2 linked regions of the Saccharomyces cerevisiae S288C genome follow. The protein of the gene in region 2 interacts with the protein of the main gene of each other region in a pairwise test. Each region holds a gene or a part of one and is shown on either strand. Other genes may lie near its edges.

Region 1 (3,061 bases), on a different chromosome or scaffold from region 2:
GGAAGAAGCGGAAAGAATCGCCAAGGAAGAGCATGGTTCAGAGAAAATTTCTGTTATTTCTGGTGTTGGTGTAAGAAATTACTATGGTAAACTAGGATATGAACTAGACGGTCCATACATGTCGAAAAGAATTTAAAGGTAAATAGAACTTTTATGTGCCGCCGACATGGCCGGTTTTCCAAGCAGAAATTTAAATATATTTAAGTAAATAATTGTTTATACTATTCATTTATTAATTCCTTTTATGATGGGAGTAACTGCTGCATGTGTTTTCAGAAGAAAGATATTTTACGCCACATAAACATAAATTTTAGAATAGTCAGGCATAATAAAAAAAGGTGAACAGAAGGGAAGGAACGAAGTGTAAGCTCTTTAGTTTGTCACATATCTATATACAAATATACACGTTCGGTCAATTGCACGTACAACAATTTATATACATACATAACATATACGTACATATATTTTGAAGATTCAAATGGATGGCACAAAATCACTCCTTAGTTATTCTTTTTTGTTTCATCATCTACCTGTGTATTTACAATTGGCCCCAGATACTCCAGTGAATAAGAAGTACCAATCGGTAAGCCCTTTCTTACCAGCTCAGGGAAAAATCCCCACCTCCATATAAATAAGAAGTCATTTGGATTTCCATGGGTTAATATTCTCAAATATTGCAAATACACGACGAAGATATAGACACCAGTACCGGTCAAAAGATGCCACCAAGCATGCAGTTCCAATAGAACACCTAATGGCAGGGCCAAATATGTTCTCCGGATATAGATCCAAAAAGAACACAGGTGAATATCTAGTTGCCAGCAAATGAACCCAATGACAAAAGGAATCATGCCCATAACCATAGTAATAAAAAGATTTTTCTTTGCAAATGAATCATGAACGTGATAGTAGGTCAGCCAGCCAGAAAGAACCACAACTAGAAGCGTCAATATACCATAAAGGACTTGGAAAATTGCTGGCTTTTGGACGACAACGTAAATCCAGGTTAAAATGGTGACTATACCACACATGATAAAAGAAATGACCATTTGGATTCTAAATGAGCTTTCCTTCCTTTTCTTCTCATCCTTAATCAAGATTTCTTGAGTTTCTGCAAAAATACTCCACGATGGGATGATGGTCGCATACAGCATTGGTAGTTCGTCTAGCAATTGATAACGATACTGTAAAGTCATATGAAATAACCACGAACCAATACCAACCAGCGAGAACCCCATTCCTATCAATATATACCTTGTTTCTAACTTATTACGCCAAGCGCTATATGTAGAATAGAAGGCGGTCATTAAGAATATACTATTGGTAATAGTATTTGACCATTCTGCAATATAGGGGGATACGACATAATTCTCCTCGCACCAATCAATCAGAGAAGTTGGCTTGCCCCAATAACCTTCAATCGGGGCTTCTGGATAAGGCCAGCTGAACAGCATTTGATTTTTTTCTTTATCTTACTTTCTTAAAAATTCACTAGGTTCTATGATATATCCTTTTGCTTAAATTCTTGAATTGAAAAACGAAGAACAATGCAGATAAACCAGATAGTTATTTCCTTTTTTTTTTTCACTATTAGCAAATATTCAAAGATTGAAGCATGCAATAGAAAGAAAGCAAGCGAAGTAAAATAAGAAAGGCACACCTGTCATTATGGCATTATAAAAAGAAACTGATGGATAAGTTGCTTTCAGGAAATCTGATCCCCTGATTCTGTAGGTTGGCGTACGCTATCGGACATGCTATGCCACTCTCCGGGAACGAGGGATTTAAAAAAGGGACATGAAGTAATATGAGCCGAATGGCTACGATCAGTAAAAATCAGCAGGTGTCATGTTACAGTATATATGATTCTCGTTATTTAGCCTTCTATATATCAGTGGGCCCATGAAAATCTAACTTAACATCTTTGCCTCTGGGGTTTGTAGGGCTCCTCGAGGTACTTTATCTCTTCTTCTGTTAGAGTTACTTGTAGTGCGGCAATCGCTTCGTCTACTCTTGCTGTAGTGTTCAATCCCACAATAGGGTGACATCCTTTATGCAAAACCCATGCAATGGAGAGCATAGCCATCGAGACTTTTTTGTCCTTCGACACCTTTTCCACACGATTTATAATTTCCTTTTGTTCTTCTTCGAGATTATCCAAATGTAACGACTTGAAAGTTGGATCACTCTTAATCCTGTCCGTGCTTTGGTTCAGAGGACGAGTCAACATGCCTCGTGCGTTAGGAGACCATGGAAGTAAACCAATATTGTGTCTTTTGGCAAAAGGAATCAATTCGCGTTCATCTTCACGATAGAGCAAATTGTAGTAAGACTGCGAAGAAATGAACTGAAACCAGCCATATTTATCGGCTGTGAACTGCAGTTCTGCAAATTCAGTTGCCAACATACTCGAAGCCCCAATGTATCTAACGTGGCCCGCTTCAACAACATCATTCAATGCCTTCATGATCTCTTTCATTGGCGTTTCATGATCTAATCTGTGAATTTGTAAAAGGTCTATATATGTGCCCAGTCTTTTCACAGAGTTCTCGACACCAGCAATTATATGCTTTCTGGATAAACCCCGCTGGTTGGACAAGTCCAATTCTTCAAATTCATTTAAAGTGAAGTTATGATGCAAATCAAGCGTTTCATCAACTGGGAAGTAAATTTTGGTCATAATCACCACCGTTTCTCTCTTTATACTGTAGTACTCCAGAAACTCCTTAATTATTCTTTCACTCAAACCATTAGAATAAAAATCTGCTGTGTCAAAAGTACGAAGACCTTTATCGTAACAATGCTTCATAATCTTGAAAATTTGGGTCTTGTCCTCTATGACCCAGTCCGCCCATTTCTTGGACCCGTATGACATACATCCTATCACTATCGGTGATATCTTAAGACCTGAGTTACCGAGTCTTACCTGCTTAACTAAAACCATTTCTGCCGCCTGATGTGGGTCTTCCGTAACAGCCAAATTACATAGTTGGCAAGACAATTAATATATGATACCTTGTTCTCTGGGTCCTAATATATATATATATATATATATATATAC
Region 2 (10,101 bases):
TCAAAGGAACAAAAAAGTCTTTCCTATTCACCTACTGCTACAGGCTTAAGCGGTGTGGTTAAAGAAACTGAGAGCGAAGATAACGCTCCTACGAGGTCTCGGCTAATCGATGTCTTGTTTGAGAACAAGCTTCACTCCGTACCAGGAATATCAAAATGGCATCTATATGAGCTGGAATCCCAATACCCAAATTTGGAATGTACAGAAGGAAATAGTGATGAAAAGTTTTTACTTTCAACTGTATTGTGCCTGGGGTCGTTGACCATACGAAAAAGGGAACTATTGAATCATTCGAACATAGACAATCGTCCACTTTTGCCGGAGAATAGTATTTCAAAACTGACCACTGATGCTTTTAAGTACTATAATGCTGCGAAAACGCTTGTTCCCGACTTGTTATCTCATCCCACAATCGATGGATTTTGCGGCCTCGTTCTAATGGCAAATTTCATGACGATGATGATATCCTTAGAGCACCAATTATATTTGAGTATAAATGCTTTACAACTTGCTGTGGCTTTAAACTTGAACAACAATACAAAATGCAAGGAATTACTTGAGTCGAACAGCGACGGAATTGGTGTGATCTTGCTTTTTTGGAACATTTGGTGTTCTTCTTGCATGTTGGCAACAATTCATGGAAAAAATCCTTTTATCACTTTGGAACAAATTACAACACCTCTGCCGTGTGAAATATCCCCCCGCAATAAAACTAATAAACTTTTGATAGATTTCATGCAAATCAGAATCAAGCTAGCCACTCTACAAAGTAAGATTTTTCAACGGCTATATACTTCCAGCACCGCAAACGAGGTACCATTCGTAAACTTAGAAAGAGAATTTGAGGAGGTTTCACTCCAGATTACCAGGTTAAAAGGCTTTCCGATATTCGAAGAACATCTTTTTTACAGGAGCAGAGTCTTAATGTTAGAGCTATCATGTTTAAGAGCTCAAGCTTCTTTTCTATTATATCGTCCGTATCTGATCACTGGAGAATCCTTACAAGCAGTAACCATGGCAAAATCAATAATTCACGAAATATGGAGTCAATACACTAAACAGTTTCCCGATAACGAAAAGGAAAGGCATGAACGTTTGGATTGGAATTTTTGTTATCCTTTAAGAACAGCGTCACTGACATTATGTATTTCATGTATTATACTCCTAAGGTATAAGCAGGTGGTGCAGTTCCTTAAAGGTACTGAACTATTTGAATACATTCTAGCATTGGAAATATTGCAAGATTTAGTTCAGGTACTTCCTATTGAACAAAACCTTATTGATATAATCAAATATCCGATCAGTCCAGTACAGCTGAGTGGTGATAGCTTTGTCGAATTTTGGGGTCGCATACTTTACTAAACCGTTTCCTAGCTGATTTTTTGACACTTTATTCAGAAATGACCTTTTGAGATACAAGTTTACTAGGGGAAAGATCCATATGACATGGTAGTAGGTTTACCCTTCAAAACAACATAGATCGTAAAAAAGGTGGCTGAAGAACTTACTAAAAATGTTATATGCTTAGATTAATATATTGTCACCGGGCTACCAGTACAAACCCTTGATAATGCGACCAGACATCTGTTTTGACTTATTTATGAGCAATAATGGGTAACAAAAGAACGCTCTGAGGCAACTCTATGTGAGTCGAAACATATGTGTTTTTGGCAATTAAACAAAATACGAGAGATTCTTCTCAGAAAACATTGTCACAAGAACTTAGTATCTTTAATTTTCTGCAAACATACTGATGATTTCTTCGGCAATAGCAACTACGTGAGTTTCAAGCGCAAAATGGCCAGTATCATAGTAAACAACCTTTAAATTATCAACGTCTTTCCGATAAGCTTCAGCCCCGGCAACGCTAAAAATAGTATCATTCGCACCCCATGCAACTAGCACAGGAATCTTTGAATCTCTCAAGAACTTTTGAAAGGCTGGGTACAACTTTATATTATTCTGATAATCGAAAAATAATCTCAATTGAATATCGGTCTGGCCGGTACGCTGAATTAGCGCAATATCAAGCGTATAAGCGGCGGGATCAACAGATTCGATAGCTGGTACTCCATCATGGTACTGGCATATGACATTAGCTGGATCTTCAAGGTACGGGATAAGGGATTTAACAAATACCGGATCACTTTGATATGACTTCCAATATTCCTTCAACGGACCCCAAAAGCGGTCATCGAGACCCTCTTCGTAAGCATTACCGTTTTGAGTAACAATGCCAGTAATTCTGGAGGGAAACTTCAAGGCTAACCGAAAACCTACCGGAGATCCATAATCAAATATATACATGGCAAATTTTTCAATACTCAAAGTATCTAACAAATATCCTATACTTTCACAAAGGGAATCAAAGCTGAACTTGTAGTTTTCTGGCGTTTCCGTAAATCCGAACCCAGGAAGATCCGGAGCAATGATGTGAAACTGTCCAGCTAGTAAGGGAATGAGGTTCCTGAACATGTTGGAAGATGTAGGGAACCCATGTAGCAATAAAATTGTGGGGTTACCTGCTGCACCGGCCTCACGGTACCAAACCTTTACACCGTCTTGAACTTGAATCTTGTGAAATCTTGCAATGATATTTGACATTTTTGTCCTTCGTCCAATTCTGACAGTGAAAGAAAAGTGGTCAAGTTCAGTTAATTTGATCGTGCTTATATATGTTCTTTTTGGCTCCTATCACTTTTGGCTCCTATCACTTTTGAAATTTCTGTCACGATTATGTGCGGCGCAGTCCCTAGGCAAGTTACAGACGAATGGCATGCAGCGCCGTCTGTGGAAAAGATGAATACTGAATTATCATACCTTTAAATGACTATGTTAATAACAAAGGTGAATGGAGATTTAGAAAATGCACAATATTGAGAAAATGCATATGCGTACTTTTTGTTAGCAAACATACGATTATTTAGTCTATTAAAAAAATCTATTTACTCGTCCTCGTTGCGCACAGCAGTTGAATCAGGCTTGTGAATAGCACTACGTGCTGGCAATGCGTCTGGAATATTGCTAGTGGCAGGCTGGTCTATCTGTGACGTGTGCTCTTGTTCGGGTCTGTAAGCATCTTCTTGTTCAATTTCAAAATTACTGTCTTGACTTGTGAAACTGGATAAATCGTTAGCATCTTCATGCAAGCCATCTGATTCATCTGAAAACTGACCCTGAAGCAGCGAAGAGTAAGTAGGACCTTTTCTGTTGCCAAACCTTGCCCTTAATTTTGAAGAAAAGCGTGCTACACCTGCCTTCGTGCGTTGAAATGCAGACTTGGTAATTAAAGAAATGCATAATCCTAGTCTTACAATGATGTTGACAACTCTATCGGTCCTATTGTTTTCTATCAGCCCATCGTCTCCTAATCTTATTTCTTCAAATCTTGAAAATCCCCCATTTCTCCTGATACCTCTATCGTATACAAACCATGCGGCAAAGAAAATAACGAGAAGAATTGTAACAAAAACCAGCGCATAAGCGCCGGTGTTTATAGAATATTTTTCCCTGAATGCCTTTTCTTTTCCCGGACAAGGATGTGGTGCTAAATGTGCATCCAATTTCAGCCCACCTTTACAGGTTGATAAGGGAATTTTTCGATAGCCAGAGGAATCATAGTATTCAATTAAGTCGGGTTCCTTTTTGCAGATATCGGCACCATTCGCCGAACTTAAGCCTTTGACTAATTTACAAGTACCATCACTGGCTTTATAAAAATTATAGTCACATTCGAAATCTTGCCTCGTACATGAACAGTTTTTGACGTTCCTCGAAAATTCAGAAAGTGGAATATTCCCAATAAAACATTTTTCATCGGTTTTACGTAAAAACTCGGTTTGATGACCAAATAGACAACCAGTTCTGGAACCCAGAGGAGAGTACTTAAAATCTGCCCTTTTTTTACCCGTAATATCAAACTCACATTGCCTCTCGAAGATGTTTCTAAAATCAATTGTATACGTTCTGAATGAACCACTACCCATGTTTTTTGCTTCTCCAAATAGCAAAAACCTCAAAGCAGAATCTCTGGGAACGGTGATTATATCCTTTACGAGGACTTTGTCGCCACAGAATTTATAATCTTTCCATGTTTTACCAAAATCGGTGGAGTAAGAAATAGAATCAGTTTCTGCGTTTTCGGGGACCAAAACCAAGACTCCACCATGATCACCGTACTCCCATTGATGGGGGCCTTTTTTAACCTCAGTCCACGTCTCTCCTCCATCAGTGGTTAAAAAAGTGGAACACTCCTCATATGGTAGAAGCTTATCGCCAACATTTCCGACACCAAACATCATTCCTAACGCGGAACCGGAGGAATATGTATCCCTGATATCCTTACGTTCAGTGTAACCATGCAAATGTAGAGAACATTTATCTAATGATACAGAATCACAGGGAAACTTTTTCCCTTCCGAATCCTTCTTTGGAGGCTTCAAAAAGTTCCAATCTGAACCGTCATTAAAGGTGATTTTCGTCTTCAATTGTTCGTCTTCCTTGTTCTCTCCAACCTTTTCCCTATTCGAAACGATGTTGGTAATAATAATACCTTCAAGACCTTGAACTTTTTCAAAGTCGACATAACCGAATGTGTTTCTATTAACGGCATGCTCTAAAGTGACAAAAGAAGTACCATTCGAGTTGGATTTCAAAAGGTTTCCAAAATCGTGTCCTGATTCTAAGTTTGTTGCTAAATGTAAAAATATCGATCCTTTCTCAGATCCTAAAATAGTGAATGCCTCTTGCTTACTAACATCTTGACCATACGGGAATTTTGCCTCGGCAAACTCAGTACCATCAATAGTTACATATGCCCTCAACTCATTGTCTTCATGAGGTACGGCAACAATAATATAGCCACCAGTGGACAAGTAGCCGATAATGTTTTCAAAGATAATTTTATTATCACCTTGGAAAAAATCTATCGAAGAAACCAAGCTTCTTGTTTCTGAAGACTTCTTTTTTACTTGGCACATAACCATCTCCTCATTTGACGGATATTCAAAGAGTGTGCCTGCAAACTCACAATGAATTGCATTATCAAGCATTTCTGTAAAAGTTTCACCTCCATCTTTGGTGAGGTATGCTACTGCATGACATTCTGGACTTAAGATTGATTCACAATTCTTGCCACCATAGTAAATAAAAGTATCCTGTGCTTTAGCACTAAAATCTAGTGGCATACCTAATTGCCTGGCTTCAGGTAATTTAGCTATCATAAAAGAGTGTCCTCTATCGTGTGTTGAGAATATGTTACCTTTAGAGCCAAACAAATATGCTGAAGAATTGAAATATGGGTTAAACACAACTTCAACAATTTTTTCGCCGTTAGTGTCAAACCTTTTTATTGTTTGTCCACCATCGTGGGATATATAGGCGTCTCCTATCGAATTCAGCATGACCAAAGATTCGTCGGCAACTGTATCGAAGTATTGGTAAAATTTAATTTCGAAGTCAAATTTGTTTTCAGTGGTCACTATTTCCCTGTCACTCGAACCCTCCTCTGGAATTTCGTCACACGGAATATCAACGGGTTCAATTTTCATGGGTGTTTTACATTCATCACCTTTGATTAATTGTAATGGCTCTACTAACACAGATTTATCCTTCGATTTGTCACATATGTTGGAAAAGGCAATCAGATTATAATCTGGTATACACAGGCCGTTTGCGTCCCTAACAAATTCAAACGAACATTCGTAGTCGGATTCACCACAACTATTACAAGGCGTTTCATCTAAACTCAAATCTTTGAATGCTTTTTTTACCAAACACTGGGCGTCTTGTTTCCTCCTTCTATACTTGTATTTGGCGCCATTAACACATTTCCCATCCGCCAAATCCCAATCTTCAAAATCTTCCTCCTCACACGTTCTAGAGTCGAATGCTGCTGAAAAATCAATTATATACTCGACACCTTTTAAAGAAGTTATACTGTTGGTTTCGGAATCGGTAGTGGCAAACGTTCCTTTAAAAATAAATTTTGAGCCAGATCCATCTGGTGTTGGATTTATCAATTTGTAGGGATGGACAGAACTTATGGCATTGGTCAGCTCATATTCATTCCATGTTCTACCTTGGTCCAAAGAATAATAAAATTCAGATTGAAAATCGCCATCTTCCTCTGGATCATATGGGATATACACAATAATATTTCCCAGGTCACCAGTAGCATATAACCCAGAAGAATTATGAACAAATCTCCACGTTAAACCGCCATCTCTAGAGATGAAAGTTTTTTGGTCTTCCCAATCGAATTCACTACCGTCGCCAACGGAACCTGTCATTAACATAATTCCGGCAGTAGGATTTGAGATTTAGATACTATAAAAAGGGTTCTGGAGCGAACATCTTTCAGGCCTAGTGATATCACAAGGGAATGAATCTGCATTTTCCTCGTCAACCACTTTCAAATTTGACCATGTGAGGCCGTTATCAACAGATATTTTAGTTTCATATCTGGCTATCTTTTTATTATATTTTCCTTTGTTATGAGAGTAGTCAAAGGAAGGATGAAACGAGCCAATTATTGTTCCTTCTAAGAAATGAGGAGAAGCAATATCAATATAACCAAAGTGAGGATTTATTGTCCATTCAACAGGTAAAAATTTCAACCCTTGAGAATCTGATATTAAAATTTCTGAGGGAGCTGGTTGGTCGTTTTTTTCATCTGTGAATATCGTAGATATAGGAATGATTATTCTTCCAATAGAATCTTCATAAATTCCATACATATGGACGTGCCGTACTTGAGCAGGTAGACGTGCCTTTTGAAAAGTAGACGCATCATTGGATATCCAGATGTCCATGGGTGACATTTCATTGTATCTATCATCTTGTGTCGAAACGATTATATGTGATTTTAATATCTTGTATTGATAAATAATTTTATCATTAAACTCATCAAATTTTTTGAAAGTTTTACCTCCATCAGTACTTAAGGCTAATTGTGTATATGCGGCACTTAAGTGACGATCGCTATCGTAACCATGGTTCGAGAACAAACATAGTATCGAAGCGTCGTTACCCTCAATATCAGAATCCTTGCTAGATTTGACAAAGTTGCAGCTTGAACTTGTTATATGGTCATCTTCTTTCTTTTTCAAGGAAGGTTCGATATTGTAAAAGGATTCCCCATCGTTGGTAAAGTAAGTTTCATTTTGTATTTGGATATAACCATTGTCGTTTATAAAGCAAGGGCAATCTGCAATAAGGTACTTTTTATCTGTCGGATGGGTAGCTATAGAGCAAGAAGTACCCAAACGACAGTTTTCAGAGACGGGTATAGTCAGAGCCCTCCATGATTTTCCACGATCATCGGTGACGTAAAATTTGGGTGATAAATGTATCGAAACAAAAGCCCTGTCCTGTCCATGCAAAGGATCAACAATTAATTCGAGAATATGCCCTTCAATTTCTTTGACCGCTTCCCAATTTTCTCCAGAATCGGAACTTATCCACACGACTTGATTATCTAATCTGATTAAACTGTTGGAATCGTCAAAGCTCTCTAGACTAAATGAATATTCTGAAAGAGTCTCCGTTACTTTGGGGACGAATTCCTCTGCATTGAGTAACGGAATAAAGAGACATGTCCAAATCGTGCATATGACTTGGAGTAATATCATAATTGAGGATCTCTTACCTTTTCTTAGTTCAAAGCTTTTTTTCAAAGCTCGGAACTTTATGCTACGATTCAATGACTAAAAAAAAGGTAGCGGATAATCTTTTGGTTGCAAATTGGCGGCATTTAAATATATTTTGGGTTGCAAATATTCTAAAAATATTCTCATAATATTCTAAAAATATCTAGCCTAGGTAATTGCAATTATTTTGAGTCTGGTTATTTTGAGTTGACCATGTTCACTTCCTTTTCAGTCATCAAGACAACGTGTTTACCATCTAATGGGGAATCAAACAGATAAAACTAGAAACTGAGCAAAAATACTTTGATTTGCTAATGTCGCCAGTAGTACGATAATACTATAAAGATATGCTGTTGAAGCTGATATTTAAAGAATGAGAATCTCTAAGGGATCATAGTCTAGAATGGTATTCTGCAAAACAAATTTTAAATGGTGAAAACTTTTCCTCACTATGTCCAATTGATGCTTCTTAGGATGACGTTAGAATTTTATTTTAGTGCAGGCATTACCTTGCTAAGTTCATTCATTAAAGTACTAATATACCTCTTACTGGCATGCATTTACCTAAGTGGTCTCCGTTAGCCGTGGTCTTTTCGAACGCAACAACTTTCAAGTTAAGTAAAAATGATTTATTCTATAAAATATGTATGTAGTGGGAAAGACTCGACAGACCTGCTTGCCAAGTTCTCTTTCTAAGCAATTGAGTTGGCCAGTCCCCCTGAAAATGCTAATGCCCATGTGCGACTCATTCCGTTATCCAAATATGTGGATGAATCAAAAGTTGAATCACTGAAAAATGCATACGAATCTACTGGGTCGAAGAGTGCTTGATTCAGCTTCAATATGCCTGTCCAGCCGCTTTCTATCGATTCAATAATTGGCTCGATTTTAGTCTGCCATTCTTCTTCGACGAAAGTCTCAGAACGAATATTAGAAGAAACTGGTGTGATAGGTAGCATATGAATACCGTGGATATATTCTGTGTTTGTTCCAAAATAAGTAGTATAATCGATAATATTATCGAATAAAATACCACTCACTTTATTTCCTATGATTTCTTCAGGCTCAACTGTGTTGTCATTTTGATAATAGAAATAGTCGTTCATTGCATCCTTCATTATACTAATCATCAAGTCACCCCTCAATTCCATTGACTGGTCACCGATAGTGGCCCCCCATAACTTCATAGCATAGGCAAAATTGTAATCTTCACTACTACTTTCTTCGTTCTTACCGTTACCGTTTTCATAAAGTCCAGCTGCCCATGAATGACCGTTGAACCAATCAAACATTCTCGATTGTGCAAAGTATTCATCTTTTTCAGATGGATTTGCGACATCTCTTACCAATGAATTGACCCAATCTTTATTGTCGGCAGCCCAAGTACCATTCAGTTTAGAGTCAACATAGCCGATGACAGCAGCTGCATGAATAATGTAACCATAATGGAAATGATGGTCATTGTAATAAGTGTTACCAAAATCGTATTGCGTGCTGGTGGAACCCCAATCTCCTGAACTGACCAAACCGTTGAACTTTGTGTCGTAAATTAGTGGATACGTCTGTTCATTTTGTAGCAGAATATCAAAGGCCGATTTGATGTTTTCCAAAGTACTCTTAGTACTGGCTTCATCTTGGATGATTTCGGAGACCGTTAATAGAATGTAAGAATACTTATCGATAACTTTACCCAAATAATATGTGTTTAACCCGCTTATACTTTCGGAAATACTAACCTGTAATTCGGAATTGGCAACTTCAGCTAATAATTGCAATTGTTCTTTAGAATACTCTAAAAGGTTTGAGCCAAGTTGAGAAGACCATGGTAACCAAGATATTTGTCTGTTTAGAGATGTGGAAAATTGTAGGCTCGTTGTTAGATAACCGTTCATTACACCCTTAGTTGTAGAAGCGAGTTGAATGCCGGTATAGTAGTCTTGCATTATATCACTAAATGAAGATTCATGATGGGGCAAGGCAAAAATCATTGTGCTACCTGATGCCGACTCACCTTGGGTGGTATAAGAAAATTCATAGGTAGCTGTAGAACCGTCAGAGACACCCTGCAGCTTGAAATTAGTAACGTACATACCTGCGGCTTGATCATAAAAGACCTCGTAATCAGTTTCAGAAGGTGCGACGGCCAATTGAATGATAAGACCATCAACACTAGCGCTTGCTTTAATTTCATATTCTGAGCTCACCTCCAATGAAAAGTCCGTTGAGGTTAAATCGTCTGGTCCTATCACGTAACATAACCAAGTGACTCCATTCAAAAGGGTGATACGATATTTGAGAATACCCTGAGCTAAATTGCTTGATGATTCAGAAACAATGGTATTGAATCCGACGCTGGAACCAATCTTGGCATTTAAAGATCCATGATATATACCAGTTGCAAATCCCATACCTTGAACCAAAGGTATTTCCAGGTAGTTCGAAGAATCATTGG

Evidence for each region. Proteins that work in one complex are often made in the same cells at the same time.
Region 1: the proteins of YNR065C (region 2) and YDC1 interact in a protein complementation assay, tested with the Saccharomyces cerevisiae proteins (one large-scale study listed by BioGRID).

The regions. Positions count from the first base shown.
Region 1 is NC_001148.4:381,848-384,908, reverse strand, and holds YDC1 (alkaline dihydroceramidase), read right to left. Parts: upstream 1,455-3,061; coding exon 501-1,454; downstream 1-500. Other genes in the region: Elongator subunit ELP3, read left to right, coding at 1-136; YPL088W (aldo-keto reductase superfamily protein), read right to left, coding at 1,916-2,944.
Region 2 is NC_001146.8:747,405-757,505, forward strand, and holds YNR065C (uncharacterized protein), read right to left. Parts: upstream 6,297-10,101; coding exon 2,946-6,296; downstream 1-2,945. Other genes in the region: PUL4 (Pul4p), read left to right, coding at 1-1,362; YNR064C (epoxide hydrolase), read right to left, coding at 1,732-2,604; YNR066C (uncharacterized protein), read right to left, coding at 6,321-7,631; DSE4 (endo-1,3(4)-beta-glucanase), read right to left, coding at 8,342-10,101.